Drosophila melanogaster: one gene and its partners. The protein of the gene in region 3 interacts with the protein of the main gene of each other region in a pairwise test. Each region holds a gene or a part of one and is shown on either strand. Other genes may lie near its edges. The genes, in order: CG7379, CG9689, MSBP and Sqor.

Region 1 (8,064 bases), on a different chromosome or scaffold from region 3:
ATTGACATGCAAAATGCCCCTCTGGAAACTTTCTAAAGTTGATGTCAATAAAAATTGGTTACAAATTGCTCCCTCATCCAAGCTGAGTAACGGGTATCTGATAGTCGAGGACTCGACTATCTTCCCTTGTTTCCTAATAAGATATGGCATAGCAGTAAATTGTGGTTTTGCTAACATCAATAATTTTCAATAAAGAATATAATTAAAATAATGAATTGGGCTATTCTCAACAAGTGCTTAAAGTAAACAAAAAGCTTAAAGCCATATGCACCGTACTAAAATCGCTACGCCCGTGAAAAGTGCTCTTGGCTACGCACATGGACACAGCCTGGAGTTCAACCCCTAGTTCAAGGTTATGCAGCCCTGCAAACTGTGCTTGCTGTTTTGCAGAAATTCGCAGTTTGCCGGCAAAGGATGAAGTGCGCAGTTCGCATCTGCGGCAACAGATTCCTCTGCGAGTTCGCCAGTCCAAGCACATCTCGGTGAAAGAAGAAAGCATATTCCGGACTTTCCCAACAGTCCGCGAAACTTTTCATCGACTCAACATTGCCGAAAACGGGAGAGCTCAAATTATTTGCGAATAACTTTCACAGATGAGGTCGTCTAGGACAGCCAGCGATTCAAAATGGGTGTGTCACTCAAACTCTTATTAATATTCTAATCTGGTATATTATGTATACCTTCGTTTTTTTTTTGCATTCAAGGTGCGCCAGTCAAACGACAACAAAGACACAATGCGCTCCTCGCGGCAGGTTAACAAAAAGCTTGTGAAGCTATTCCTGGCGGAGGCAGACGACAGTGACGCCACCTGCACCACATCCACTGCCCTGGACACGACCACAGCAGACAGTGCGTTTTTTGATAGTGATTTCGAAGAGGAGAGCACTGGGCTCCAGGAATGCGATCCCCCGCCGGCAAGCAAGTGCCGCACCTGCTTTCGCATCATATCGCGGCATGAGGATGCTCAGGATCTATATGACAGGGTCAACATAGCGCTTCTGCACCACATAAAGGTCATCACTGGGGTGTGGGTACGTCTGCGTCTGCATTTAAACTTACGTTTTCTTTTTTGTTGTTAAATTGTTTCATCTTCGTTTTATAAGTTAACTTTGTTGACAAGGAACATAATATGTGAGTTCTTAAACTGTTCTACCACAAATTTAACAGAAAAATAAACCCACTATATAATATTATAATAAAGCTGCATTAAAGAACTAACATTTTATTGCAGATACAACAAGGAGTCAAAGAGCTACCGCATCACATTTGCTCAACGTGCCAGGAAACTGTGAATAAATCCATGGAATTCCGTGCCAAATGCCAGCAGGTCGACAAAAAGCTTAGGCAGACGACGGAAAAGTACAACATTCAAATCTGTGACGAGGAAATGGAGTCGGAGCTGGAAAATGTGCTCTACGAAGAGTCCGCCCAGCAGGCAAAGGGAGTCGTAGGACTAGAAGATTTCAGCTCAGAGTTGTTGCCGGATAGTGAGGGTGTCCTGGATGAAGACGACTTTCCACTGGATGCAGAGCCAACTCAGTTTTCACTAAGTGAAGATGAGTTGGATCTAGACAGAGACACAGAAAAAGACTTTGCTTTGGAGCAAAACAAGTCATGTAATGAAATAATTAGCATACGAAAGTGTAAGACTAAGGAAGAGATTGGTAAGGTAGATCACGGAGCCAAGGTCTATAAGGTTGTGCTCGGTGAGTACAATAGCCTAAAGGAAACTGCACCAAAGTATTCGCTTTCACTACCAAAGAAACCTCAACTAAGGGTGAGTCCAGAGGAGAAAAACCGAAGGCGCCGCGAAAGGATACAAGCGAAGCCATTGAACTATGTCTGCGACAAGTGCGGCCACACCTTTCGCCAACGCAGTCAGCTGCAGATGCACTTGCTCCGTCACAATAGGGCCAAGAATTTCGAGTGCCCCGAATGCCCGAAGAAATTCTACGATCTCTATACGCGCAACATTCACGTAAGAGCGCTGCACAAGGGCGAGCATCCCTTTCCCTGCAACCATTGCAATGAGTCCTTCGCAAACGCAAGCAGTCGTCACAGGCACGAGAGGTGAGTGCACCTACTATTTGATGGTTCCATCATCTAATCACTTCGATTGACTCCAGGGATGTTCACGGAGCAGGCAATCGGATTCGAACGCGGGTGAAATCAAAGGAAGAGGGATCCAGTCGCCATTACTGCACCCAGTGCACCAAAAGTTATACCAGCAAGAAAGGTCTAGTCCTGCACATGAACTTCCACAACGGAAGCAGACCCTTCCAGTGCAAGATTTGCCAGATGAAATTCGCTGACCCATCTGCCATGAAACGACATCAAGCTTTGCACGACAAGTTTCCCATTCGCTGTGACATCTGCCTAAAGGGATTCCTGCTGCGCTCCCAACTAACAAAGCATCAGGATGTACACACAGGAATGCATCCTCATCGGTGGGTGCAAAAGAGAATCCCGACTACTGTCCGTTTACTTATTTCTTTACTTGATTTATATTGCCAGGTGCGAGATCTGCGATGTTCACTACCGCCATAGATATAATCTAAACAAACACAAAAACACCGATTTGCATCGGGATAATATGCAGAAAGCTATAAAAGAAGAAGTTAATGGACTGCAACAAGCATTTAAAGATATTGATAAGGAAATGGACTTTGAATCTCAAACACCAATGCAGCCAAATGCACAGGAAGTGCGAGCCAGAACTCAGGATGAAAAGACTCAAACTATTGAATATATATAATTTTTATAAAAATTTATATACTTTCATGGCGAAGTACGTAATACTTCTAAGGTGACGTTTAGTAAGTGCCGACATAGAAGATAATGCACGAACAATATTTTAAAAATATATAATTCGTATAATAGTATTATGCATTTAATAACGTTAAGCTTAATGAAGAATAGACTTGACAACCTAAATACAAATCTGAATAGTTCAGACGTATGTTTCATGAAAGGAACAATAAATATTTATATTATTAATATTAAATAATAATCAATTAAAAAATAATATAAGTGCATTTGTTTTTCCTAATTAAAAAATCAGCTGATACTGTTATTTGAAATTCTCCAGTTTCCCGGGCAAATGAGTAAGGGGTTGGTTTTGAACGTTTCCTACACTGGCCGTTGAATGAATGATACATGATTTTAAAATTACGATAATTGTAATAAAATGAATACAAAAAAAGGACTGAAAGTAATAATTAAATTTGTATTTAAAGGGAAAATATTTTTAATACTTTCTATTGCCTAGGGAAATGATGAGAAGATATTTGACCACAAACTATTAAAACCAATATTACTTATTTATTAAAAAATTCAACCGAAACAGCAGTGCCGTTAACCACCCCGATTTCAGTGTAGCAAAACACCAGCCGACTAGTGTTGCAAAGCACAACCACCCATTGTATACATACATATAAATAATACCTACGCACACATACACGCACACACGAGTACAGTCGCAAGTTGCGACTCGCAACGCCATACAAAAAGTTGGAACTGAGTGGAATCGGAGTACTATATAGCCAGCCGATCCCTTCCAGAGCGCCGGAAGAGTAGCTCACATCCGAACCCACGTCCCCGAGCCGATGTCGCGGCGGGAATAGAGCGATTCGCAGTCCAAACACGATGATAAACCCCATTGCATCCGAGTCGGAGGCCATCAATTCGGCCACCTATGTGGACAACTATATCGATTCGGTGGAAAATCTGCCGGACGACGTGCAGCGCCAGTTGTCACGCATCCGCGACATAGACGTCCAGTACAGAGGTGAGTTCTGGCCGAGATTACGCCTGTTGGAAAAGCGGAAAACCTAACCTCCTCTCTTGGTCCAAACCCGTCGATTTGCAGGCCTCATTCGCGACGTAGACCACTACTACGACCTGTATCTGTCCCTGCAGAACTCCGCGGATGCCGGGCGACGGTCTCGAAGCATCTCCAGGATGCACCAGAGTCTCATTCAGGCGCAGGAACTGGGCGACGAAAAAATGCAGATCGTCAATCATATGCAGGAGATAATCGACGGCAAGCTGCGCCAGCTGGACACCGACCAGCAGAACCTGGACCTGAAGGAGGACCGCGATCGGTATGCGCTCCTGGACGATGGCACGCCTTCGAAGCTGCAACGCCTGCAGAGCCCGATGAGGGAGCAGGGCAACCAAGCGGGCACTGGCAACGGTGGCCTAAATGGAAACGGCCTGCTTTCGGCCAAAGATCTGTACGCCTTGGGCGGCTATGCAGGTGGTGTTGTGCCTGGTTCTAATGCCATGACCTCCGGCAACGGTGGCGGCTCAACGCCCAACTCGGAGCGCTCGAGCCATGTCAGTAATGGTGGCAACAGCGGCTCCAATGGCAATGCCAGCGGCGGAGGAGGCGGAGAACTGCAGCGCACAGGTAGCAAGCGGTCGAGGAGGCGAAACGAGAGTGTTGTTAACAACGGAAGCTCTCTGGAGATGGGCGGCAACGAGTCCAACTCGGCAAATGAAGCCAGTGGCAGTGGTGGTGGCAGTGGCGAGCGCAAATCCTCGTTGGGCGGTGCCAGTGGAGCGGGACAGGGACGAAAGGCCAGTCTGCAGTCGGCTTCTGGCAGTTTGGCTAGCGGCTCTGCAGCCACGAGCAGTGGAGCAGCCGGAGGTGGTGGTGCCAGCGGAGCCGGCGTAGTTGGTGGCAATAATTCCGGCAAGAAGAAAAAGCGCAAGGTACGCGGTTCTGGGGCTTCAAATGCCAATGCCAGTACGCGAGAGGAGACGCCGCCGCCGGAGACCATTGATCCGGACGAGCCGACCTACTGTGTCTGCAATCAGGTGAGTTCGCAGTGCTTTTCCTATCGAAAAGCTTCGCCACTAATCACGTTTTCTATTGCAGATCTCCTTTGGCGAGATGATCCTGTGCGACAATGACCTGTGCCCCATCGAGTGGTTCCATTTTTCGTGCGTCTCCCTGGTACTAAAACCAAAAGGCAAGTGGTTCTGCCCCAACTGCCGCGGAGAACGGCCAAATGTAATGAAACCCAAGGCGCAGTTCCTCAAAGAACTGGAGCGCTACAACAAGGAAAAGGAGGAGAAGACCTAGTCTATTAGGCCAGCCTATCCAACCCATTGCTCTGTGTCTAACACCAGGCTCTGTAAAATATTCGATCCTAAGATTTACCTTAATGTATATTTAGTGACTTTCTTAGACCCGATCCCTTTTCGACTTTCCCCTCTTTCACCCAGTTTAGATCCCTCGCTTCTATGGTTATAGGTCGTCAGTTTTCATTTAAAGTTTCTGTACAAACAATATCTTTCTCAATGTAAACACACAAAAACTCGTATAATTAGAGTACACCTAAACTTAATTTATGGTAATAAACGTTGATATTCAAAACCCACAATAATTTCTTGGCCCCAAGGAGCCCGTATCCAGTAGCAGTAGTTTTACGAATCTATTTGTTTAATTGTCGTTTAGAAGACTAAGGCATTCGAATTACACATAAGTATAATTGATCGTGTATAAATGTGTGTAAAATATATAAATTTATATAAAACTATTTGGTAGGCATCTGTGGAATTGTATGGAATTCTTATTGTAAAAAATGCGCATGGACGGAGTTCTTGTTGCGTGTCAAGTCAAAAAGTATTCTAATAGATTATTCGAGCTTCTGTATGGAGGTTCTTCCATCATGGCATGAGCAGCTCAATGTTCGGATTCTGGATCTCCAGGAATATCTGGTACTGCGAGAAGACCACCAGCCAGCAATAGATCTAAGTGGATGAGTAAAATGGGTTTATAAACATAATGATACAGGAGTTGGTGTTGCTGTCCCTTGAATTTCAAACACTTACATTGTAGGCTACCCAAACGAAGTTCAAAAGGGCCGAGAAGGTTTGCTCCAGCTGGCGGTAGAGTAACACGAATTCATTAGCTTTAGTTAATGGAAAAGATAATCGCTACTCACATAAATATAGTAGCCTCCAATAAGCCAAAGGCTCCAGCTAAACTGGAAGAGAATGGCTAGTCCAATTAGACCCAGCCAGGGTAGCAGCCATCCTCGAGTGCTGAGAAACAGATGCAAGCATGACTATATCCGTACATATAGGAAGCCAGAGCTCGTCTTACCTGATCTTAATACCGTAGTAGACCAAATAGGAAGACAGGATGATTAGCAGGAAGTAGATGATAAAGAAGCCACCTGCCACGGGCATCGACGAACGTATATCCGTCTCAAAGAGCGGGGAATAGAGCTGCGCAGACTCCCCGCCTGCTAGCATATACGAAATCAGCGTGATCATTACGGCGGATAGCGCAGCCGTATAGCCGGCCACGGCATAGCTTCCCGTCCGGACATTATCCGACCAAATTATGGGCGACCAGCAGGAGCTCAGCACTACCATGTTGCTGTGGGAAAACACCGGGAGACACCAATGAACAAACTTCTCCGATCTCAAATTTCTTTGGCTTGCGTGACAGCGTCAACGCCCAAATATTTTGGTCAATGAAAACGCAGTCGAAATGTATGATTTTCTTCTGCTTTTCAATTGATAGCTACTTCTAAAGGTTAACCTTGGATATATCCTTTTAAAATGTCCAGATTGTTTTGGTTTCTAGGGCGTGGGCGTACCTTTTTTTAAATAATAATCGCTTAATTAGAAAAACAACAACGGCTTGAGCAATAGGGTTGCCATGCGTGCGTAAAAAAGGGAATTATCGATATTTATTTAGTTAAATATATCGCGAAAAGTTATGATATGTTTAATAAATTGAAGACATTTTCAGTAAATAGAATGTTTGCAAATTTAAAGTATGAGAATATTTTAATAAATATTATGATTATAAAATTAAAAAGTGTATGATACTAAATAATCGATGACTATCGAATATAAACTGAAACGCGAGTATGAGCACTGTACAGTATATTAAAATATTTATTATGTTTCCTATAATTCTATTAACTAACAAATGTACAGCAATGTATTTTAAGATATATTTATCAAATGTTTAATTTATTATATAATTGGTATATAATATATTAATTGATATATATAACTAGGTATATAATTTTTAAATTGTGAATTAGCTTAAAATTTGTTTTACACTCTTCAAGCTTGTAAAAACAATAATAATATCTGACCATCGATCGGTCCCACTGTGCAGCACTGAGCAGCTGAGCTGACCGAATCTGAATTCGAATATTCACCATGTGTCGACTGGCGACTGCAGCAACAACAACCACACGGCAGAGTACAGGGCCGGTTGTTGGAGTGATCTTCATTTGGCAATTACATTTGGCCGTGTTCGGAGGTCTCCGCGGATAAAAGCGCCAAAACAGAAGCCGAAAAAGGCCCAAGTCGCTCGCGCTACGTGAATCAGTTATCAGTGGGATTAACCGCGCGATTCGCACGGAATTCAAACGCACATAGTGGCGCAGTGGCAACTTCCCAGTGATCGTCGCATAACGGTAGAAAGGTGAAAACCCGAATCGAATCGAATCGAGTTGAATCGAAGGGCATAACACAGTACCCACACTGCGTGGGCAAGGTCAGCTCCACCAGATCCCAAACCCATTCCCATACCAAGTAGGTACATCAGAAGGCGCCTACATTTTCGATGATTAGCCATTAACCCAGTTGTGTGAAAGTTCTTTGGACTTATGTATGAATAAGTATGAATACGAGTGCGAATGCGAATGCATGGAGGTGCACTCGTCGCGGTCTCATGTTCCAATTGGAACGATCTTTCGTGCCGAATTGTGGCTCATTCCGCACATACGTACGCTGTATGAATGTTTGGGCCAATTTCTCGCCCCAAAGAGATGTGGGCTTAAAGTGCACCACCGAAAAAAAAAATCCACAAAAAAAAGTAATTTGGATCCCAGCAAAAAATGAAGCATGGCAAAAGAAAAGGTTAATAATTCGTGCCAATAATGCTCTCGAAATTTTGCTCGCATCTCTTGTTGGAAGTGGAAGTGTGTTTCGAGATCAGGAGTTTTTTCATCTCTGATTTTTCTGATTTTCGAAGGGGTTTTTTTGAGGGGGGAGGCTCGAAAAAAAATTAAAGCGGAATCGGAA
Region 2 (7,848 bases), 6.0 Mb from region 3:
TCTTCTGGAGGGGAGAAAACAAAGATTTGTGCGCAGACGCATATCACCCGACGATCCTGATCTCGAGATCATCGAGGTCAAGGACGTCTACTACCGAAAGCGGCCCAAGAAGTTGGTTGTCCAGCTCGATGATGACGAATTAAACTGGAAAATTCGCTGTGACTTCGATCCAAGCAATCCGGAGTGTAAGAAACAAGACAACATTATTTCAATTCACTTATGCAAATAGATGTTACGCAAGTTTAATTGCGAGTAATCTTAATATAACATCGTAGCATTTTATAAACATAATGACTTTTCTATATTAGGTGGAGATGTAGTGAAGAAACCCGTGGCTCCTATCAGGCCAACCACAACCACCAACCCCACCACAACCACTAGCAGAACCACCACCACCACCACAACTGAACCCACAACAGAACCCACAACTGAACCCACAACTGAACCCACAACTGAACCCACAACTGAACCCACAACTGAACCTACAACTGAACCGACAGAAGCACCAGATACAGATGATAATATCGAATTGTTCGGCGACAATGAAGAGGACTCTGAGGATCAGGAGGATCTAGATGATCAAGGAGATCAGGAGTATCAGGAGGTTGACCCCTATGGCACTTACGATAGCCAAATCCACTCAATTGGGGCTAATGATGACGGCAACTGGAATTAGACCCAAATGAAAAGCAGCAAATGATCGATTCGATCTGTTGACTCAATTGAACATCAATAAAATGGCAATAGCGGAACTGCGCTACATAATGTAATGCTACATAAATGTCTTTTCGAGGGTTGACAGAAAAGTTATGCATGTAACTTTTTGATGTTATAGAAAATTCTGCAAAAAATCGCAGTAGCAGTTTTTATCTGTTTTATGGCCTCTCCCTCAAATATCTGCAGTTTTTCGAGAATGTTCTGGCCTCGCCAATTGTTATATAATCACTAGTAGCTCGTGCCATTGTAGGTCAATTCCAGACTAGTGCGTCTGAGTCGAGTGTAAATACCAATTGAACGTATCTCGTTTAGTATATATACTATATGGTCTATTTATATGCCATATTTGTCACAGCTTCCGGCTTAACGGGGAAATAATCGTATTTATTTGGGAAATCGTAGCGATACTAGGATATACATTTAAAAGGGCAACATTATCTGAATGACCATCACGGAATCATCGGCCTGCAGCTGTATCTCCATCCATATCATTGTGTATTTGTATCTTTGTCGAGTTGTGCTTAAATCAGCGCACAATTGCGATGATTGTTGCCGTTCGCCAATTGAATTAAAGAAAATGCGAAGCAAGTGACACACAAAGGCGACGGCGATACGAATAAAATGGGTGGAAATCGAAGCGCCCCAGGTCAGTCCAGTATCAGTGGAGTCAACGTTCAGTCTGGTTTTTGTGGATAAAGCCAAAGGAACCGAATATATCAAGATGAATAGCTTGCAAGGATCGCTGGTCCTCCTGCTGCTCGCCGGAGTTTTTCTTCAAAGTCAGGCGGGTCTCTTCGATTGCGAGGACAAGATACCCGGACTTGGAGATGTGAGCGATAAGATATCGGAGATTACGGGCAGCAGTAGCAGTTCGGAGCACGAGGTGCGCGACTTCTTCAAGAACGTGGGATGCCACATCAAGGAGGGAGCCAAGAAGCTGGGCGAGAAGGCCAAGGACTTGGGCACGGAACTCAAAGAGGGCGCCCAGAAGCTGGGCGAGAAGGCCAAGGTCCTGGGTAGCGATCTCAAGGATCGCTTCGATGACTTCCGCGACAAGCTGGCCAAGGATTCCGCCGAGGAGATGAGCAAGGATCGCGGCTTTCTGGCCAACGTGGAGATTATCAATCCGGACATCCTCAAGGGCGAGCAGCAGTGTGGGCATGGACACATTCTGGATGCCTTGGGCAACTGCAGCAAATTGAGGAAATAGTCCCCAAAGAGTCCTACCCCCTCCCGTTAACACTTAAGTTTTTTTATGAGTTTTTTTTTTTTATGTGTAAATAAAAATGGACAGTAAAAATACAAATGTGGAAAAGTCCCTATTTCTTGGTATGTGAATTTTTAGTGTTTTAAACAAAGTATTGGAAATAATACTCCAAATAAGTTGTGCCATATTGCGTTGAGTAATTAATGCAATACCCAATCGAAATTTAATTTTCTGAGATATTTGATAAGTTTTTGGGCTATAACTAAAAAAATAATAGTCCAAATGTGGAACTAAATACCTCGTTGAGTTCGTCATTAAATTTCCAATCAAACTGTATTAAAAAAATGATATTCAAATTTTTTTCCATTTTATGCAAATTTTGATGATGTTACCCCTTACAAAAAATGAGAAAATTGACCCAAAAATTAATTTTCCTAAATTCTTCAAAAAGTGATATTTATCGTTAGCACTGGTAATTAGCTGCTCAAAACAGTTATTCTTACATCTATATGAGCATTTTTAGCCTAGTTATGACGAAAATTCCGTTTGTAAATATCAACTTCTTGGCAAAATCCGTTTTTCCGAATTTCGGTCTTCAGAAACAGTTTTTTTGCCATAACTTTAAAAATAATTGTCTGAATATGGAATGCCATATATCATTGTGCTCGTAATTAAATTTCCAATCAAACTGCGTTTAAATATGGAAATAAAATTTTTTTGCCATTTTTTGCAAATTTTGATGATGTTACCCCTTACAAAAAATGCAAAAATTGGCCGAAAAATTAATTTTCCTAAATTCTTCAAAAAGTGATAGGGATCGTTAGCACTGGTAATTAGCTGCTCAAAACAGTTATTCTTACATATATATGAGCATTTTTAGCCAAGTTATGACGAAAATTCCGTTTGTATATATCAAGTTTTTGGCAAAAGCCGTGTTTCCGAGTTTTGGTCATCAAATAATCAGTTATTTACATATTCTTTCATCTTTATGAGCATTTTCAGCCAAGTTATTACGAAAATACCATTTGTAAATCAGTTTATTCTTTGGCTATTAGCTATTTAAACGACAAAAAAGCGTTAGTATCGAATTTTTTCCAATAGTCGTTTTCTGATGTCCCACCATTGAGGCATTCGCTTTTTCACCATAACAACGAAAACAATGGTCCAGCTGCATTAAACCGGGTGTTCTTTTAAAAGTTTAGTTGAGATGCCGTGTGTAAGTTGAACTTGATGGATTAGTCACCTTTACAATTGCAATAAGTAGCCGTAAATATTTCTCTTTTCCCATTTTTTCTCTATTACATTCTGGAGAATTCTCCGGCTCTCCGCTACCTCCCGCCTTTTACATTTCCCAAGTCTCATTTTTTCTAGGCCTCTCTCTTCGCTCGCCGAAAATGCATTTCTGTTGCCCGACGACTTTCTCGCCGAGCTTCGTAGCTCGAAAACCCAATGGCGCAGCCCAAAAGCCACAAGATACCCAAGAACTTGGTCAAGTGGCTACGACTGCGGCTGCAAACGGGTTTCAGTCGATTGTGGGGCCTCAGAGGCGATACACGATATTCAAGATTTGAGATTCGAGATCCACAATTGCGATGACTAATTCATTGACCATCGCCGTCTTTTTGGCCAGCCTGTGCCTCTTTGCCAGTTGTGGTCAAATGCAGGCAGCCTCCATTGTCTGCGGATCGGAGGCTAAGTCTGCAGAGGATGGTGATTCGGTGACCACTCCCAGTACCAGTGAGGTCAACAAATTCGTCCACAGCCTGCAATGCACTCTGGAGAAGGCCAAGCCCTGGATAGCCAATATCGAGAAGGAGGCCAAGATCTTGGAGGAGAAGGCCAGGGATGCCACCATATCGCTCTTCCAGCGCATAAATAAACTGGTCAATGTGCTCGCCTCACCGGTTAAATTCGAAAAGGATAAGGAAAAGGATAAGGATGAGCAGAAGGAACCGGAGGAGGTCACCACCACGACCACCCCTTCCACATCGGAGGCTTCGAGTTCCTCCAAAAACGATCTTAAGGAGGAACTAACCACTTCTGCGCCGCCAGTTCACTTGGACTGGCTGGAGGATCATGCCAATGAGGTGGACTACATTCCAGAGAAGAATTAGTGAAGCACTTAGTTAAGCACTATGCTAATATATATGTATACTAATTAATAAATTATGTTGCTCTTTATTCGATGAGCCTTTCCTATTTATGAATTTACAGCATTTAATTTAATATATTTTTATATAATCTATTTTGTAAAATATCAAATGTAAAATGTACGAACTCGTTTGCTGATTCATCATTGCAACTGGTATACATATGGGTAAGTTCAAGTATACAACACATTTCATATATTATTATTTCTAATACATCTTTTTGTTTGCAGAATTCACTTTCGAAATGATTTAAATAGATCAAATCTAAAGGGTCAATGTGTTTGTAGTTCAAGTCCGGTGTTTACAAAAGAAATCTTGAATTTAGCATAACTGGAACCCAAAAACTTGTTGTGACTACAGAGCCAATTGGGTTTAAGTTCTTAATGAACCGCTTCCTCCGCTTTGGTGACTCACTTCACTTGATTGTGATTCTTTCCCGACTTTCTCTTCTGGACTTTTCTTGCCACTGTGGTTATTGGCCAAAAATAAACAAACAGCCTGCTAACTGAAGCCCTGCAACTCCGGCATAACTTGTGAGCCGGTTTTGGTCTCAACGGATCAGTGAATCAGTGAATCATCCCAGCGACAGGAGTCTCATTGGGCCGATCTCACTGGATGGGCTTCAATTGCTAATTGCCAGTCGTCGGGAAAGATGCAGCTTCTGGGCACCAGCGGACTACTGATAATCATCGTCATCATCTCCCTGTCATTGCCAATTATCCAGGGGATGGTCTGGTCGGGATTTATATGCTCTGCAAGGGATCATCGCGGCTGCTGCTACAATTGGGTATACCCCACACGTCCCAGGCCGCCATGTGCCCCCCAAAGAAGTCGGAATTCGGGTCAAAAGAATGGGACACCCAAATGAGTAATTCGAGCTCTACAAGCACAAGAAATAATATATATTTTTTAAATTATTATAAAAACAAAACAATGCACTTTAAAGGCCTAACACCACAAAGAATAAATTTCACAGCGCTAACGGACTCACAGTATAAATTGCAACTGTAGTCAGATATATTATAAGCAAATATTTTTTTGTAGCGTGAATAAAGAAATAATGATCTTATAATTATCTATATCTGAAATGAAATGATTGTTTTTCTTTCACAACTTATCTGTAACATGGGAAAGTAAATTGGGGTGCAAATAATATTAAATTGAGCGTTGGTTGACAACATTTGATAGTTGTTTGATATATAAAAACGCTTCCGTAGCTTTGTTCATTTAAGTTGATTATCCATCAATTTCGCGTAAAATTTGTATAAACAATAAGTAAACATTTAATGGAGCACACTTTTCACACAGAAAGCCAGAATGTAAGCGAATAAATTGAAATAAACATATCATTCACGTTATTCATCAATAATTTTCTATAAATTTAAATTAAAATTGCAACAATTTTTTTTAATTGAATTCAAAACAAGCTTTATGAATTATTTATAATAATTACCCGTTAATCGCAAGTTTTTTTGTTGATTAAGACTATTATTTAATAATCATAGATATAAATATTCTAATAAATAGACAAAAAACGTTCGAAGCTCAAAGTAATGAAATTCATTTTAACAAGCTAAGAAAACACTATAGATTTTTTTTTAATTTTTTATGTTTTAAGATAAACATTATATAGTTGATCTTTTCAGGGCCTTTAAAAACATCTATCTACTTTCTCGCAGTGCAGTAAAGCTTACATTACAAAAAAGCTAGAGCAGCTCGCATTGAGTGAGCGCCAAACAACCGATCGCACGAACGCAACTTGTTTGGGATTTAGTTTTCAGCCAGGGTGGATAAGTTGCGGCGGGCGGGATGGGAGGGGCGTAACCGGTTGGCGGAGATCCGAGATTTCAGATCGTAGACCGCCGTCTCGGAGCGGAGCGATCAGTCAGTCGCGTTGTCAAGCTGAAAGCGTAAAGATGAAATCGCTCGTTGTGTGCTCTTTGATCGGATTGGTCCTGCTTATGGCCGCTGGCCAAGTTCGTGCCGAGTGCGACGAGGCCAAGAGTCCCGAGGACAGCGAATTCAAGCACTTCTTCAAGAACCTAGGCTGCAAGGTCAACCAGGGGGCCAAGGAGGTGGCCGAGGCCGCCAAGCCCTACACCGACAAGATCGGCGAGGGCGCCAAGGAGTTTGGCAGCTCGGTGGCCCAGAAGTACGACGAACTGAAGCACAAGCTGACCGATGAGCCATCGACCACGCCCAAAATTCCAGTGGCCTATGACGCCCCCACCGAGAAGGTCCTTTTAGCCCCCATCGGAGGACCCAGCACCCCGATCCCATGAGGTCAGCCCGCCCATTCGATCCGAACCAAAAGCCCAGTTTATTGACAGCCCATTAATCTTATGATTACAGGGATTTTGCAATCGCTTGAAGGTCCCCTCCGTCTCGTTGCATAAGTTTTCTTTGTTTTTTTTTTTTTTCTTTGTGATCTATATTAATAAAAACTAAAGTGATGTTGGAATCGTGAGCTGTGTTTTTTGCGACTTTAGTATGGCTGATAAGCGGGGATCACAGATCGATGGTTATCAGTTGGGGGCTAATTAAGTTAGACACACAGGGGAAACAACAAATCAATTATTTGGGAATCTTTCACCCAAAACGACGTACACATTCAAGGAGAACAAGAAAATCTAATCACAATATAACCAAAACTAAATAGAATAAACTACAATGAACTAGAAAGCAGAAAACGATCAAAATGTCTGCTACTAATCACCACTTCGTAACCATTCATTTTGTAGAACAGACAGTTCAATGTTCTTTTCCCTCAAGTACACAAAGTTTTGATGTTGAGTTATTGGGAAGAAAACAAGGTAACAAAAAGCGACACATTAAAGCAATAAACAACTGGATGGCATAGCAAGCCGCAAGTGATTTACATTTGAATCGTAAATCGCACCGTAAACATTTGCTTCTGAGAATTGCGAACATAAAGACAAACATCATCGTACCCTCTCCCCCTTTATAAACATTGACGATCCATCATCAACGTTCATTCACCGCCGATCGAAATTATATAGCCGAGATGCTGCTGATCAGTCACCATGACGGGCAGTCTGTTTATTTTGCTGGCCTGTAATTTATGAGGGATTTATTCGAGTTGGCATCGGGGAAACCACGGAATACATTGTTTAGCATTAAATTAATATATGTATTTGAAAGTGATCTAGTTTTGAATTGGCATGCTCTTTTGTCGAAGGGAAACAAATTACAAGTGGGTCGATATAAGCCAAATACATATGATATTCACATCAGAAAAGAGAGAAGCAGTCATGCAAATAAAAGATTGAAAAGTAAACGTTTTAGGCAAGAATAAATATTTATTTACGATAATAGCTTATCGTATAACTTAAAAATTGCCTACTAAGTTAAGTTACTATTTCAAATTATACATCTTACCTTAGTTCCCTTATAAGTTATTTTTAATTAGGAAAAAAAGTGGTAGGTTCCCCTTGACATAAATCCAGGCACTAAAAATCAGTAGTGCCCTCTGCCCTCCAGTAATCTGCGATATTTCTGGGAAAATTCCCCTCTCGTCAGTGTGTGTTATGTATTTTTTGTTATTGCCTCTAGACATTTGTCTTGTCACTCGCAGCTTGTTTACATTTCGGTCAGCTTCTATTTGATCGACTTGCCTTCATTTAGCTAATTCATTTATTCACTTATGAGTGCGGATGTCCCAATGTCGAGCGGGTAAAAAAAGCGTACAAATTTTTAATGAATGTCATGACATTTCCAGCATGCCAAGTAGGATTTCCTGATCGATTGATCGAA
Region 3 (8,532 bases):
TATTTCCTTTGCTGTTGCTGCTACAATTGGTTGAAGCCTACATTAACAGAAGATTCGTTTTAACAAAATATTTTGCGTTGAAGAAATGGATTCTTACATCGTTCAAAAGATCACTTTGCTCGTTTTCCTTCTTTATGCTAATGCTGCTGCTGCTGCTGCTGCTACTGGCCCCAAAGGATTGCGCCGAAACATTGGCCAGCTCCTGAATATCCAGGGAGCGGCAGGTCGCTGAATTCGTCACGGTTTCAATGTTCTCCAAACCCATCGACTTCTGGGCAACGAGTTAAGATAACTATTAGTAAATAACATCTTATCGGACAGTTGAGGTGGACTCACCTTTGCGACCTGTGCTGATTGCGAGCCCAGTTTGCAGACACCCAGGTGATTACTGTTTGCGTTTGCATTTGCGGCGGCATTAAGATCACTTGATATTAGATTATTGAGCTGGTGCGTGGGCAGCGGTTTTGTTACGTGCAATTGGTCAATAGTGTTACTCGTGGCGGGGGAATTGTGAGATTTTTTGGTGTCGCTGCTGCTGCCAGTACAACTGGCGTGAATCACACCAACGTCAATGTGGTCATGACTATGCGATACGGCGCCACCAACGCCCAGCGATGGCAGGCTGATATCCAACATCAGTGAATCGTTGTCGTTCTCCAAAAATCGAGTACTAACAGTAGCACTGTTGTTCACTTGCATTTTTGCCGCATTGCAACCACCGTCCGCCGCCTGTTGTTGCTTGCTCGATTGGTTGTTGGTTGTGTGGTTTATTTGGTGGCTACTATTGTTAATTTGATTATCATCACTAATGTTATTATTACTTTTACTGTTTGCGCTATTGTCCGATTGCAATTGGTCTTGCTGCTGCCCATATTCGGATCGCCAATGATCCCTGGGCTCGGCTTCCGTCTCCAGAACATTGCCCACCATGTTCACAGATGGCAGCAGGTAGACCACGTTGGATAAACTGCTGCTATTGCTGTTCGCGTTGGGGCCATTGCTGTTGATCATGCTGTTGTTGTTGTTGCTGCTGTTATTGTTATTATTGTTGCTAATGACATTGCCGCCACGATCACGATGAAGGCTTGGCTGCGGGTTCTCCTTCAGATTGTTATTGTTAACAGTCAAAGTGGACAGGCTGGTGACACGCAACGGTTGCGATTGACCAGTATCTATAACCTTTGGGATTTTCATTTCCTCTATACTGTAGGTACAAGTTAGCTCGTCCAGTGCGGATAGACGCTTCTCCTTCCGCTTCTGTCCCAATTTGATGGCAAACTGTTGTGAAGAAAGATTATTACAGTAGGCTGCGTGCACGTATGAAATGAAATGGCAACGAAACCTACCTCAAGATCCTCGTATGTCTTAAACTCCAGTATAGCGAATCCATCGATGATTTCCTCCTCGAGCACCGGAGATCGTGGCAGCTTTCTTCGAACCGGAGGTGGTGGTCGAGGCGGTGGCTTGTCGCGCGGCAAGAGCAGTGTGGACGAGGACGAGGTCGAGAGCAGATCCTCGTCCAGCGACTCACCCTCGCTATCGCTAGGCGTGGCCATCAATCCCGAGTTGCACTCGGGGGAATGTGGTGGATTTAGGAGTAACGATGCAATACTATCTGTGGGCGGCAGCAGATTGTTGCTGCCATTGCTGCTGCTGGTGAAATTTCCATTTGAATTGTTGCTATCCTCGCCCATGCTGCCAGCGCTGTTGATGTGATAGATCATCCCATTGTTGCCGGGTCCTGCCGCCGATCCGTTGCCCATTGCAACAGCCGAGGATCCGCCACCGACGCTACTATTAGGCGTGACGAGGCCAACTCCACCTCCCTGGCCACCGTTGGCCGCACTCATGGCACTGCCGACCCCCACAGAGGATCCGGCTATGAAGGTGCCACTCAGCGAGTTGGCATTGCATCGACTGTCGCGTTCCGCTTGCAAACGCTGGGCACGTTCCCTCCGGCGTTTCTGCTGGCGCTGTTGCTTGGCATTCAGACTCAGATGAGTACTGCTACTGGAGGTGGTGCTGTGGCCATTGGTATTCCCAGCAGCCACCGCTCCTGATCCCGCTCCGAAGCCGGACTGATTACCGGCTATGCTAGCAGTGCCTCCCGCACTGGAATTCAGCTGTGGCATTATTGTGGATCCCGCCGCCGTCGGAGGAGACGTCGGGGATCGCGAATCTATGCCGGCTGAGGCGGAGACGGCCGCTGCAGCTGCCACAATCGAGAGTTCCGTGTCGGAGTCAAAGTCACAGGCACTGGGAGCCATCGATACCGTCGAAACAGATGGACAGGTGGGCTCCGATATGGAGACAGGTGATGCCGGGGGAATCGCTGCCACGGCCATGGTTTTGCCGCCATCCGATGCCGACGTCGCCGTCGTCGTCGTCGCCGCCGTCGAGGAGGTGTTCGATACAAACGATGGCCGAGCACGAGGCATGGAGCCCAGATCGGCTATATTGGCACTTGCTTGAACTAAGGCGGTCGCCGTCGGCGGAGGAAGATGCAGTACCGCCAGGGCGCCGGTCGAACTCTTTGATATACTCTGGCCCACTACCGTGAGCACTGTGGACTGTGGCTGTGACTGCGATTGCGACTGGGACGACTGTGAGCTGGAGCTGGAGTGTGAATGTGAGTGGGAGTGCGACTCGCTCTTCTCATCCTGGACTGGGACAGCGGGAACGGAGGATCCGATGTCCTGCGACGATGATATATGCTTGATTTGGGATCCTATTCCATTAATACTACTGCTGCCCGACGCAGACGTCTTTGATTTAGCGCTGGCATTTGATGTGTCCATTTCTTTTGCTACGTAAAGCTTCCAGTGGATTACACTTCAGTTCCTTTTCCTTGGGAATACAAATTATCGATGAGCATTATTATGTATATTGCTATCTGGACCAAACCTTTTCCAATGCATTCGACTATTATTTTTATCTATATTTCTTTACTTTTTTTTTTTTTTTCTTTGGAAGGAGGGGTTTTCTATGCCAGCGATAAGGCGAGAAAGCTTTACAAATATTGGATTTAAGGTGCTACTACGGCCGATTCAATCGCGTGTATTTTGAAAAAATCGATGCTGCGCCGACTGTTTTTACGTGATATTGTTATTTGGTGGCCACTGTGGGGTTTTTCACATTCCGACCGGTTAACATATTTGATTAGAGTCACTAATTTGGTTAAAAATAATAATTGTACAAGTTGTTTTCATTTCGTTTGCTCTTTTTCTTGTAGTCAACTTCCCTATTGCGCTTTTTTCTGTACACACACACATAATATTTAATTCTGCACACTTCTTTTTTACAACAAACACTTATTGTTTTTTCGGGTCAGTGGGATTGCACACAAATCAGAACAGATGTAAAATATAATAAAAAAAATAAATAACATAAAGCCGATATGAGAATTCACCGAAAATAGTCCATATTTATTTTGTCTAGCACTTTATCATTCGTCATATACTCTTCTTCTTCTTCGTATTCCTCCTCTGCTGCTTCTTCGCCTTCTTCTTCTTGAAATATATGTATGCACATATATGTACGTACATGCATGCGTACATATAAATTCGTACGAGTATACGTATGTATATTTATATACACCAGTTCGGTTTTGCTTTTGCTGTTGCTTTTTTTCTTGCTTTCCTTCTTTCTTTCGGCCTTTTTTCTCTATGCCTCCGTGTTCGTGCCGTCTATAAGTCTGCCGCTAGCGAGTGCACAAACCATTCAACCAGAGTTTCACACCGTTGCCTTTGCAAATAAAATTACGATAAAATAATTTTTTTTTTAATTAAAGAGAACATTTTGAAGCAGCTTCTTTTTTATTTTTACTCTTTCGCAGAACTTTAGTTGGCTTTTCTCTTAAAGATTTGCAGAAGCAGCGCAGAAACAGAAACAATAGTGTCATCTCGCTCACACTTACACTTTTCTAATTGCGACATACGTACATACAAAATACGACAACGACAAATACAAATACGACGACGACGACGACGAATTTTTGTGAACTGTATGCGATTGTTCGTACATTTTTACATTTTCCACACACACCGAACGCACAACGAACGGCCAAAACGATCGATTGTGCATCAACGCGTTATAAGCATCGCTACCAAACTAACTGTCATCACGGCTATTATGTATATTTTACATAAAATCCAATATTATTTTCCGAAAATTTTGTTAACCACAAAGAACCAACATAGTCTCTCAGAGACGGACCAAATTTTCGATAGCTGCAGAAAATCATTTTCAAGGGGATAACATTATGATAACTATCGAAGTAGCGGCCAGTCTCCACTGGTGGCCGCGATTTCGGGCGTTTCACACCGATAACAAGATGCGAAAAGTTGGTTTCAAAAAATACTGGGAACAAATGGAATAAATCAAAATCCATTATTAGGAAAAAAACCTGTTTTTTGCTTTTCTTGCAGTTCAGGATTCCCCCACCTCCCAAATAAAGATATTGAACGTTTAAGTATTTAATTTGTATTTCAAATATAGTTACATTTAAATTTATATTGCCACGAAAATGACTCCCATACCCTCCACACATTGGCCTCCTCCTTAAATAATTTTATGATTTCCGTTTGTTACATTTGTATGAATATACGACTATAATATATGGAACAAGATCACATCACAACGTGAATTATAGTAACAACTATAGCTTTTGTCAAGGCTGCACTCTAAGAATAACATTCAAAAACGATTTTATCTGTTTTAAATTCTTTTGAAATGTTCACGATAAATTTAATGCCTTGATTTGTACGGTTCAAATTGGGGCGTGTTCTTTAAATGTTTTCCAAATAGGTCTTGTTCTCGATTTTAAAGGAGCAGAGGCAGCATCAAAAAGAGTCGGAAATGCTATTTAGTTTTGTTGTGTTTCTAACCGAAAGTAAACTATTACAGCCACATCCAAAAGCAAAACAAAAAACCCGATTCGCTAACAGTCGGTAGAAGGAGTGGCCTGATCTTGTGCGTTATTTTTGTTTGTTACATTGCTTTGCAAAATGTGACTTTCCTTTTCTTGTTTGGTGTCATCAGTCTCAGTTTTCGACTTGGGTAGGTTCTTTCGCTCTTGTTCATCATTGTTAACATTCTCCTCGTCCTCATCATCGTCATAGTTGGTTGGTTCCTCGCCCTTGCGCAATAGCTTACCAACCAGCTCATATTTTTCTAAATAACATAATGAGAACGTTAGTTTACCTATGAATCTGAGCATATACATATATATATATATGATTTAATTACCCTTAAACTGCATTTCCCATTCCCGCACAGAGTCCATTTCCACGGCACTTAAATCGCTCAGGTCATCGTATTCATCCTTGTCAATTGAAACCACGCTGAAAGTGGCCAAGTTTCGCGAGGCATCTCTACCCGCAAAAGTTGCGTAGGGTCCACCTGAAAAGCAGAGAATCATCATATGTTACTATCTAAATATTTATATAGTTTTAGTTTGTTGGAGTCAGCAGTCTGGTCATCAGGAACACGGCACCGTTGATAGAAGATAGTATACAATCAAGTGCGCAACTTAAGGCTTTTCTGCGCATCTACGTCACAAGTGTCGTGCATCTTGCTCGCACTCGTTACTTTTAGTTAAAATACTTAAGGAAAAAGTGCAAGCCGTTGTTGAAATGCCACTGGTTTCTGTTTGGTGTCTTTGAACATTTCAATTAAGGCATTTACATTAGGAAGTATTTCGATTTGATAAGGCGGACGACAACTATTTCATATGAAAATGACGATCATGGTGAACTATTTTTGCATTTCATGCTTAACAATAAAAACACCTAGTCGACATTTGGTAGGCATTATTTGATTATTGAATTTGGTTAGATAGTTGCGTTATCTCAAAACGAAAACTTTCTTGTTGATAAGCTGTTAATCTTAGCGCAAAAAAAAATGACGAAATATAGCAGAGATATGAGCATATGTCGTGCAATATCTCCTCCCACAGAAATTAAATGCGATTAAGAGAGTTACAGATATCAGGAAAACCAATATTGTGACGTAGCATTGCAATTATAGATAGACATCGTATAGAGGGATATAAATAATGGGATCTTGGCAATGAAACACATACCAAAATACCAAAATCCCTTCCTTATAATCGGCAATAGATCAATCGAAAATAGTTCTAAAGGTATATGCTATACTGTAAGCTTAGGAACAACTTAAATTCAAATATTTATAGCCTAGCACTCACCTGGGCCGTAAAAACGCCTTCCTTTGCTGACATCGTAAACACTTCCGTTGACGGCGACCAAAACACGGCCATCCGGCTGAGTTCCATCGTACTGGCGAAGCTCCTTCACGGTAAAATCGCGTCGGATTTTGGGTAACTCAGGTTCGGATGGCTTTGCAACGCCCACGGATGGCACTTCGGTGCGATCCCGAACGATTTTATAGACCAGGAAGCAGATGATGGCCAGGAGGGCCAGGTTCATTGGACTGTACAGGATTTCGCGGATTATGTTGCCCAGAAATGAGGAATCATCGTTGTTTAGATTGTTGCCGATTTCCTTGTCGTAGGCCGAACTAGGATCTGCACCCACTTTGGAATCCATCTTGTTCGCTTAATTTACTTGCTGCACTGGATGTCGCTATGCACTGAATGTTACAATATTGTACATCAACCTGTGAATTGTGTATACTGCCATTTAATAAATATGCGTTTCGTGTTCGGATTTTATGTAAAAAAGCGGTTCGGTATTCCGAAAAAAAGTGGTAAATATATGTAAGCGCAATGGTAATGGACCAAAATATATGTACATATGTAATTGCAATGTAAATTCCAAAGTTTATTAGCTCACCTTTTAGACGTGCCGTCTCGATTCGATTATTTTCATATTCCTCTGATCAATTTTTGCTGCGCAACAATGATTTCATAAATTAATACCTTTATTGCTCAGCAGCACCGACCTTTTGCGACTTACTGTATTTACAATTTTACGAACTACCTATGAAAATTGTGACAATGATTTTAGTAGGTTAAAGGTCTTTCATTACTGAAAAGTAATCGAAAGAAGCGATATCAGCGTGTTGTTAAACACCAAACAGATATAACGCGGTCTTTCCACTGAAGTTTTCTCATGGAACGGTGGGAAAAAATATATATATCAACGTCGGTTCTCAGTGAACGGAAATTCCAAATTTATATATCGTAACGTTATATTTTCGATTTTTTCCGATGTTATTCCAAATTAATAGAATATATGTTAATATTTTTATAATCTGAAACACGGAAAAGACAACAACTAAAATGCAATTTAAATTATTAAATAAAAATGAGCAAACTTGGTTATTTAAACACTTGCCTGTTATATGGCATGTTACTCTGCAAGCAACTGTCGAAAATCAACTTTTATTCTGTGAATTCTTAGATATGAAGTTAAATGAAGTGCAAATAAGCTATCCCCCAAATTAAAGTGGTCCAGAGTGCTCGAAATTATCGTCCATCTCTAACGCATTTTAAAAACGCAAGTGGCTGGTCTCACTCATGTTATTCCACATTATATTTTGTATTGCATTCTATTTTATCTAAGCTAGCAAATATATTTAAGGCAACTAGACTAAATGTTAAGCATTCGTGTTTTAAGGCTACAAAATGGACACTCCGTTCTTAACAACGCCTGCCAATTGGCACTTTCGCGAAACAAGAGCTCCAAAAGGTCGAGCAAAGACAACGTAACGCGACAGGGAAAAATATTTGGCTCGTTGTTTGGAAATCGGCTTAAAGGCAGCAAAAGCCATTGGTATCCATCGCCCGATGCAGGAACATCAGGCAATCAAAAGTCGCTGCACGCCTTAAAGTTTGGAACCCCACACTCGAAGACAACTTGCAGCCACAACAATCGACGCATGTCTGTTCTGAACAAGTTGTTCATGACGAACATCACTGATATTCTGGCCACCGGCGCAGTTGCCGATTCCATCGTGGGACACGGAGTGCAGATTTCCTATGTCAAGATCACCAGCGACTTCTCCCGCATCAATGTCTATTGGATGGGCAAGGATGGCGGGGAGAACCAAGAGCTCGAGAACACATTGAATCGCATGAGCGGCAAACTGCAGCACGAGCTATCGCAGCTCCATCTGATGGGCGAAGTGCCAAAGATCAAGTTTGTCCGGGACAAAACGAGCACTGGTCTCCATCAGGTCCACGAGGTTCTGTCCAAAATCGATCTTCAGCACAGTTACTCTAGTTCAAATGCGGAAGTTGAAGAAAGCGACGCACAGAGTTGTCAGACGGCTGCGGATGAGGAATGGCCGGAGATGCGACAGGATTTCCTCAGTTTTAACCATAGCTTAGTTATGGACAAGATTCTCGGCAAGATGCGCAAGTCCAAAGATGCCTGGGTTAATCATAGACAAAATATTGCGAAAACCTAACGTTTGTTAAATCCCTCGACTTATGTACATAATGTTAATTATTAAAGTGTTATTCAATCCAATGTAAATTGGGTTCTAAAGTTGAAAATAGGGGTAGGGTCTGTAAACGTTTAATCATTTTCCAATAAGTTTGAAATGTTG
Region 4 (8,580 bases), on a different chromosome or scaffold from region 3:
AGTTGTGGAATTAGTATTTCAATGTTAAGATTAAGAAAGTGACGTCTTACATTTAATGTCCAAGTTGGCACGCAGCTTCTTTCGCTTTTCTATGCGCTGCTCCAGATAATGCATTAGCTCGCGGATTTTGATCTGTGCCTCGGGACTGTCCATTTCGTAGGCGGGAAAATCGGGTCCCAAACTGTACACCAAACCCACGTCCACCTCCAAATCCTTGGCCTCAGGAATGCCCAGCTCGTTTAGATTATTAACGGCAATCTTGAACAGCTTGTTGGCCTTGCGACGGCCGGGAGTCAGACCCAAATCTTGCTTCATAGGAGTCGCCCGAGCAATTTGCACCTCCTGGGTCATCTCGGCGAACTTCATCACTTGCTAAACGGGATAAATAAATTTTAGGGACCAGAGTACATTGTTGTCAGAAAAATAGTTTACCATATTCTCATCATAGTCCTCAATTCTTGGGTTGATGCACACAATCATGGACACCTGGCCTTCGCCATCGAAGTAGTTTTTAAACATGTGTGTGATCTTGGAGTCTCGATAGGGGACCTTCTTGGGTGCCAATCCATTGCTAGCCGCGAGTTGGTTCTCGCGCAGATATTCCAGGCAAGTGCGCAGCGTCATCAGCGAATTATTGATGTTGCCCGCCTCACGGAGTCGCACACCGGTGTTCTTGGTCCTTGAGGATCGCTCACTGCCCGCCAGATCCACCAGGGACAGTTGACTCACTGTGATGTTTTGCCGGTCCTGAACCACATTCTCACCCTGGCTATCAGTGGGCGCCTGCACCAAGCGTATATTGAACACCGAGTGACTCCTACTGGATTCTGCATTGAGAACAGTGTGTCCCATTCGTTTGCGCTTCTGGCCCATTTGAAAGACCTCGAGGGCGTCCTCCACGGTCTTGACCTCCACCTCTGTGACGCCGTGGACGAACATGTGTCGATTGGCATCTTCACGAATGATTTTGCTCTGCAAAGTCCTGTCGGGTCAAGAATACAGTTAGATTTCTTTAAATGTAATGCTTAATAAATACTTACTTCTGTATACCCGAGTCCTCAAGGAGGTCGTAGACGCTGTTATTGTAAATTTCAATATAGGTGACAAACACCGAGTACATGTTGTCCTCATCCAAACCCAGCAGCGGAATTGGCTCCACGGAGGCCTGGGATGCAATTTCCGGATCCGAGTCCTTGTGCCTGAAGGCAAATCGTCCTGAGCCAGCAAAACGCTGGTTCATCTCGTGTTGGCGCTCCAAAAGCGCATCCTCTTCGGACAGGATCTCGAAGCCATTAAGCTTGTCCGGCTTGAAGACGAACTTCTTGGCCTGGTAATCTGAAATGGTGCGAAAGAGCACGTCCAGGCAGCGCGGCATGATGCCGCGGTGTCGCAGGTTGCCGGTCATGGTGTACGTTTTTCCACTTCCAGTCACGCCGTAGGTGAAAAGCAGACTGTTTCGGCCTTTCAGTAGGTTCTCCACCAACGGCTGGGCCACAGCTGCGTACACATCCTGCTGCGTGGCATCCGGCTGGAAAACGTGCTTGAATATGTACTGAACCTCGCGCTGGGCGCCGTTGTGTGGCTTGTGATGCTGCAGCAGCTGATCCTGCGGATTCAGTGCGATCGTCGTGGAGTTCTTGACCCTTAGGGAGGTGAGATCTGCGTCGGATTGTAGTGGCCGCACTCGACAGAACACATTCACTGGATCCCTGGCCTTGTCGGAGGTGTCTCGTCGCTGTTTCTCCACCGTTTGATGCACCCGCGGAGTTTTCGGGACGACACGCATCGGCGTCCTGGGTCTGCAAATGGGTATTCTCATTGATGGAGTTGTTCTTTCGGGAACTGTCATATCACTTACACTGCCTTCATGTTGTCAGCTCGTTTTTGCAACTAATTTGATATACGGGAGTTGGGTTTCTTCTTGTTTTGTTGCTGGAATCGATCTCTCTTTTAGTTCGTTACCTTCAAATTTACAGCGCCAAGCGACGCCACGCTTGGTTTTAGAGTGACCGAACTTTAGAAAGCGGTTAATGCTGCAAATACCATCCCCTGCTCCAATATATACTTGATACATACTGAAACCGAGGCTATGTACAGTGCGTGCCATTTGAATAGGTTAAAATATTTAGATATACTAGATTTTAAACTAATTTAATACTTTTATTTATGATCTCACATACCAAATTAAAAGTACAATGTTTATAAATTAGTATGATATTAAGGTATGGAATGGTTATGATGATGCCAAATATTCTTTTAAAATTAATTAAAGATCATTTGAGGTCCCTATTGCTTTTTATTAAACTTTAGCACTGAGAAAATTTTCCGCATTAGTGCCGGTCCGTTCCAGTAGCCGTTCATCATCAGCTTCCAGTAGAGCACCGGCATCAGCTCCTTCTTCATAAAGAACATGGAGTACCTCTCCTTGGACTGGTCCAATGGAAAGGTCTCCACGGGGGTGAGGTTGTAATCAAACTCAGCCAGGATGCAGGAGCTGTAGCCGGTGACGATGGGGCAGGACGAGTATCCATCGTAGATATCCGTTGGGGCTTTGCCCTCGATCGCCGCCATTACGTTTTTGAACACAACCGGTGATTGGGCGGCTGGAGGTGAAAAATCAATTGAATATTCTGATCAGGATTCCCAACCCATTTACCTGCCGCCGCGGCCGTCTTCGAGTTGGGACTGGACGCCGAATCGCCGATGGCGAACACGTTGCTGTACTTGTTGTGCTGCAGCGTCAACTGGTCGACGTCCACAAAGCCAGTGGGGGTTACCAGTTTCTTGCAGTTGGCCACCACATCCGGAGTGCTCATCGGCGGAGTCACATGAAGCATGGAGTACTGAGAAAGATATAATACTTATATAAGTTTAATTTCATGGCCTTCAATTCTCCTATTTCTGCAATACTATACGACTTTAAAATTGATCTTAGTTAACCTACTCTTCATATTTCTCGCTTTAAGTAGAAAGATATAGTTCTAGGATCTAGATCTAGATCTATATAGTATCTAGAATACCCAATTAATTGACCAGCACTTACCGTTTCCTCATAGTGAACTCCTGGTTTGGCGAGATCCTCGAACACGGCTATATTATCTTTATGTCTCACTTCAACGAGATTTCTTTGAACATTAAGCGTGATATTTCTCCTCTTGATCAGTTTCATCAGGGCCTCTGCGTAATGCTTAACACCAAAAATCACGGGAAGCGATGTATTGTAGATGATATTGACGTTGTCGCGACGACCCATCTGAAAAGGGTTTCAAATTGAAGTTGTTTGCCAGATATTCTATCTAAATGATGCACACCTTCCTAAAGTAGTGCTCAGATATATAGGCGATTTTCTGCGGTGCACCTGCACACTTAATGGGACAATTGGGAAACGTGAATATAGCATTTCCTTTGTTGGTCCTGCGCAGACATTCGTACACATGATCCACGTACTTGGGCGAGTAGATGGAGCAAACATTACTGTCGGGGGTCTCCAGGGCCTCCACCAGGCCAGGTATCTATGGATATGTGGATATGGATATTAGCAACTATTAAACGTACTGATACCCTACGTACCTTTCCATAATTGAGCTGCAGTCCGGTGGCGATGATCAGGAAGTCGTACTTGATGGTCTTGCCACCAGAAGTGCTAACCGTATTATTATCCGGATCGAACTCCAGCGCCTTCTCCTTCACCCATTTGGCCTTTGTGGGCAGCACATCGGCCATTTGGCGGTGGCTCTGATCCAATCTCTTCATACCACCTCCTATTAGGGTGAACATGGGTTGGTAGTAATGTTTCTATGGGGAATTATCGCGCTATGTCATAATGGATTATTTACTGCCTTTGGGCTTACTCACATCTTCCGGTTCCAGGACGACCACCTTGTCGCTGCCCAAACGTGAGGACAACTTGGCGGCCATGGCACACCCACCGGTGCCACCGCCCACAACCAGCACTTGGCATCTGGAAAAAATAGGATTTACTTAATTGCTGGAATATACAATGACAGACACCTCAAGGGAGATTAGTACAGTCGCATGACCACACCCACCATCAGTGCCATCTAACCATGGCCAACAAGTTATCTCTTCGTTATCGCCATTAATTAGTTACTAGCCTAAACATACTAATTCAATTTGTTTTGGTAGATATAGATATAGATTTGCCATGCCATTTGTTTCGCGGAAAATGTCATAAACTTTCGCAGCTATATAAACAAACTTACTCTTGCCGCTCGCGGTTCACTCGAGATGTGGACAGGAATCTGGTGGAGAAGGCCGTTGGAGCATGGTTGTGGGTGGCTAGGAGAAGCTTCTGGCACTGGCTGATGGTTCCTGGAAGGCGACGGTTCATCGCAACAGCTGGATGATCTTCGATCCCTCAATCTGCGTTAAAGAAAAACAAAACGGACTGCAAGTGCCCACAACCGATTGAAGACTGGCAAAAAAGAGCTTTCAATGGGGGGTTATCAAACCGGCTGCACTGGCAAAAAGTTTGGTCTATTTCAAATTTAGAAAAAACTTTAGAAATTTAAAAAATGCCGAAGATGCTTAGGCGGCACTGTGTAGTGCTTCCCAACATTTCGACCGGCTATCAAGGAAAACAAAACGAGTGTGGGAAAATTTGTCAGTGAAATCGAACATAACAACTGATTTTGAACACAAGTAAATAACACATTAGAAATTGTTAGAATTGTTTTAAGCGTACTAATTTGGAAAAAGTGTCAGGCTTCTAAAAATGTGGTATTTCTTAATTTCGCCCGTCGGCCATAAAAATCAGAGTGTACGTGGCTGAAAACCAGTTTTTATGTGGTAATAAAAATGGGGAAAACGCAACAGGTTGCACTGTAGTTTTCGGATGGGTGTATTCATAGCTTAACCTTGAAAGATGGCAAAAGCTTTTCAGCATGCTTTTGTACTCAGCTGTTTAAAGCTCATTTGGTGCTAAATAATCCAAAGCTCTAAAGTGCGCGAATGCTCGAAGCACTTAAATACTATCTACAGTGGATTTTGCCTACAGACAACACATGACATCATGCCTTAAAATACGAGGACTTAATTCTGAGAACAGCAAAGAATTGTGTGCTTATCGGGGCTCAATAAATAAAACAATCTGTAGGTGGCGCGTGTGCTCGGACCACTTGCTTTGTGTCTACAGTGGAACCCGGCGATAAGCGACCCATGAGATCATGCCCTTAAATACGGCTCCTCAGCGCTAACAAAGTATCATTTATTTGCCTGCTTATCGGGGCTAACAAGCGTTTTATTTGCCTTCTTAGTGCATCGGTTTATATTTATGGTATACCTCCAGGGGCAACCTTATCGAGTTTGAAGAATTTGAGTTGCATTTGCTGGTAACTGGCCATTACACTGTAAAAATATACGCATGCTTTCTAAAGGATAAACAAAAAAAAAAAACGCCGAAAAACTCGCATATTTTTATAATCAGGCATGTGGTTAAGTAACTGGTTTAATTTAAAATTGAATATTTTCACATTTGATTTGATTACTTGCGAGTCTTATCAAGCAATTCCTATAATATGTGGACATTAAATAAATGGTCAATTAATAGATTGCACAGACTCTAATCAGAATATGAAGGTCACCAATAAATCTTATTAATAAACTGCAGCGGTCATCTACTCATATACGTCAAACTCTAAATCAAGTTTTAAAAATTGCAACTAATATAAATTAAATGATTTTTGCAATTTTTCAGATGTTGATAACAATTTAATTCCATATTTAAATCAAAGTATTTCGTTAAAAAAGGAGATTTAAAAAACTTGTCTTCCCTTAACTTTCGTATTGTTTGATTTTTCTAAGGGTCTTTTAGGATCCCTATGTCATTCATCGTTAAGGGTTTTACTTAAAATATAATGATCGGACCCGAAAAGTTATATAATGCAAATGTTTTATGCCCCGGATTTTTCTGGGACCTTGAATCTATAGCTACTTCAGAAATAGATAAAGATATTCAAGTTAAATTAAACTCTTTTAAGATTATATCATGAAAAAGGTTCCAGATATTTCAATTAAAATTAAACATGTAATTTATATAAATTTCGATTTCTGATGAAAATAATAACAATAGTAAATTAGGGGTCTTTCCACCAAGCTTGTTGAGTACAATTTCCCTTCGGATCCAGGGATTTTCCACGGCTCCCCATTCCGTGCATTCGGATACGAGCAGATAGATCGATGTTGCTAATAAATATGGTAAATGTGGGATGATTAAGTGAACAATGTTGCCAATAAACGCGAGGCGGACATGTCAAACGCCACGAGACGACAACTGTGACAGCGGCGGGTTTAATTACGCCATGCTGCCGACTGATTGCAGATGGGCTTACGGATGTGGGATGTGTGGGCACATAGATGGATGGCTGGATGTGGCCACACACAGCCCACTGCGTGGGCGGGTGCTGAGGGGCAGGTCCTGGCGAGGTCCTAGCGTGGGCCCGACCCGCCGCCATGAGGTGGCCCATCGTCAATTGGAGACAAGCTGGCAATTCAAATGAAGCCCTATTGACTGATGGCCAAATTGGCTCCGCGACTGCGTGGGCGGCTATTCGAGGGCCAAGCGATAGCTACGGATATTTATAAGAAAACAATGGGTGGTTGGGTGATTGGCTGGCCTGCTGGCTGGATGCTTGGATGCTTGGGTGGCGGCTGGGTGCCTGGGTGGTGCTCGTTGCCTCTCAAACGGGCGAGGGGCCGCTTTAAATTGGGCGTGGCAGCCGCTGTTGCTAGGTGACCATTTTCACAGCCATTTCCAACTGCGGTGGCAAGGTCCCATCATCATGTGGTTCCCGAACCGATAATGACCAAGCTGGTGGTCATCATGCTGGCTTTCCCCGGGCTGTCTGTTGCCGTGATTGCGTGAGCTCCACTTCATTTGAATATAACGGTGGCAGGCCACTTGGAGCACGTAGGCCCACACAGTGAAAAAATGGCTGAGAATATAGGTTTAATGTAGTTATCAGATTTTAAGATAGACAGCAAATACGTGAGATTATTTAATTGAAACATTTTAGAAAGCATTACTTATTCGTAATACTTTATCTTAAAATTAAAACAAATTTTTAAATTGAACAAGTAGAAAGTGGAAATGCATATTTACACCAAAGAATTGTTCTATATATTTTAATATTAGACTGATATATTATAAAAATGTGTCATCTGCTGTCGCAGATAAGAGACCTTTCTAGATTTAAATATATATGTGGCCTTAATTTAATTAAATTATTTGAATACCTTGAAAATATCACCACCTAGTGACGAATCGCACAGATAAGAGTTTTTTTTGCCAAGCAAAACATTGATGAGCCATCACTTTTGAGTACATTTTTTTTTCACTGTGCGTATTTAGATATTTTTCCGGTTTTTTGTGGTATATTCCACATAAAAAGTGGGCGTTTAAGAAGTAGCAACAAAGGCCCATAGAACTCTAATTAGGTGGCCTATTCTCGTCCAGCTGAAGAGCATTATTTGTGCTGATATAAGCCCCATTGTAATGAGGCGGATTACCAATTTTGGTTGGATTTTTTCTCCGTGCCCAGACTCCTAGACTCCGAAGTGCATTTCAATTGACGCCACACCAAAATCAATTGCAGCATCGTCTGTGGCGGGATCTTTGTGCAATTGGTACCGGGGCTCTGGAATGCAAATAGCGGACACCGCGGCAATTGATGCAGAGTCTCCAACTGGAGGCAGCAGGTCTGCCATCGCCATCGCTATCGTCATAGCCATACCTATATCTGTATCTCCAGCTCTACATATATCCATAGAACCACGGTGATTGACTGTCTGACCGGAAAGCAGATGGAACTAATTCCCGTCGAGCCGAATTAAAATCGCGACCTGAACAAATCCGGAATTATCAGCCCAAAGGCGGAGGCCATCAATGTTGGGAATGGTGGGAAATCAGAAGGCACCGCCTCCGCCAAGTGACTGGCATCTATTGATCCTTGTGAGAGTCACCGCCATATGGTAATTTGTGGGATCGAGGCGCTTGAGTGTACTGTAAAAAACCGTAGTGATTTTCATATGCATTTGGGGCACGCATTTCATTTCATTTCATTTCATTTGATTTCCAGTCCGATCCGAACGCAGCCGATCCAATCTTCTGCGAATGTTAATGAGAAAAATGTAATTTAAAATAATAAATTTGCATACAATTTTCTTTGCGAGTCAATCAATCAAAGGGGAGCAACAAGTAACTCGGAGCCAGAGCCACAGCCATCCCATCCCCTGTGAGCCACCCCCTTTTTGGGGCTAACGAAAAAAATATAAGAAACCCGAGCGTGGACACGAAGGCAGCCGCCACAGATACATTTACAGATACGAATGCGGATTGAGATACTGTATCTGTAGAGAGTGCCGACGCCATAACTGTTATTAAAGCCCCTGTAGAGTCCAATTTGCTCGCTCGTCCGTTTGTCCATGCGTCCGTTTGTCCGTTTGTCCGTTCGTCCGTTCGTCCCGCATTCGCCCACTTGTTGATTTTTGGTTCGGTTCGGGCATGCCCATGCCCATGCCCATGCCAGATGCCAGATATAAAAGCATGGACGCTCAATCTTC

What was found.
Region 1: the proteins of MSBP (region 3) and CG7379 interact in a two-hybrid assay, tested with the Drosophila melanogaster proteins (one large-scale study listed by BioGRID).
Region 2: the proteins of MSBP (region 3) and CG9689 interact in a two-hybrid assay, tested with the Drosophila melanogaster proteins (one large-scale study listed by BioGRID).
Region 4: the proteins of MSBP (region 3) and Sqor interact in a two-hybrid assay, tested with the Drosophila melanogaster proteins (one large-scale study listed by BioGRID).

Annotation. Positions count from the first base shown.
Region 1 is NT_033777.3:17,793,691-17,801,754, reverse strand, and holds CG7379 (uncharacterized protein), read left to right. Parts: upstream 1-3,450; 5' UTR 3,451-3,645; coding exon 3,646-3,787; intron 3,788-3,868; coding exon 3,869-4,821; intron 4,822-4,882; coding exon 4,883-5,089; 3' UTR 5,090-5,379; downstream 5,380-8,064. Other genes in the region: CG17803 (uncharacterized protein), read left to right, coding at 594-629, 705-1,031, 1,232-2,070, 2,127-2,447, 2,515-2,755; pasi1 (pasiflora 1), read right to left, coding at 5,677-5,760, 5,842-5,892, 5,955-6,054, 6,116-6,390.
Region 2 is NC_004354.4:9,878,512-9,886,359, forward strand, and holds CG9689 (uncharacterized protein), read left to right. Parts: upstream 1-3,441; 5' UTR 3,442-3,516; coding exon 3,517-4,038; 3' UTR 4,039-4,241; intron 4,242-4,304; 3' UTR 4,305-5,159; downstream 5,160-7,848. Other genes in the region: CG1468 (uncharacterized protein), read left to right, coding at 1-185, 309-676; CG9686 (uncharacterized protein), read left to right, coding at 1,439-1,927; CG9691 (uncharacterized protein), read left to right, coding at 5,991-6,356.
Region 3 is NC_004354.4:15,883,097-15,891,628, forward strand, and holds MSBP (membrane steroid binding protein), read right to left. Parts: upstream 7,014-8,532; 5' UTR 6,813-7,013; intron 6,653-6,812; exon of another isoform or gene 6,637-6,652; 5' UTR 6,567-6,636; coding exon 6,206-6,566; intron 5,401-6,205; coding exon 5,248-5,400; intron 5,173-5,247; coding exon 4,940-5,172; 3' UTR 4,471-4,939; downstream 1-4,470. Other genes in the region: tay bridge, read right to left, coding at 1-37, 98-271, 337-1,278, 1,347-2,798; CG15916 (uncharacterized protein), read left to right, coding at 7,576-8,391.
Region 4 is NT_037436.4:4,236,167-4,244,746, reverse strand, and holds Sqor (sulfide quinone oxidoreductase), read right to left. Parts: upstream 4,575-8,580; 5' UTR 4,473-4,574; exon of another isoform or gene 4,409-4,472; 5' UTR 4,352-4,408; coding exon 4,224-4,351; intron 3,962-4,223; coding exon 3,856-3,961; intron 3,796-3,855; coding exon 3,571-3,795; intron 3,513-3,570; coding exon 3,312-3,512; intron 3,254-3,311; coding exon 3,044-3,253; intron 2,844-3,043; coding exon 2,657-2,843; intron 2,604-2,656; coding exon 2,287-2,603; 3' UTR 2,144-2,286; downstream 1-2,143. Other genes in the region: pav (pavarotti), read right to left, coding at 51-372, 433-982, 1,041-1,799, 1,859-1,869.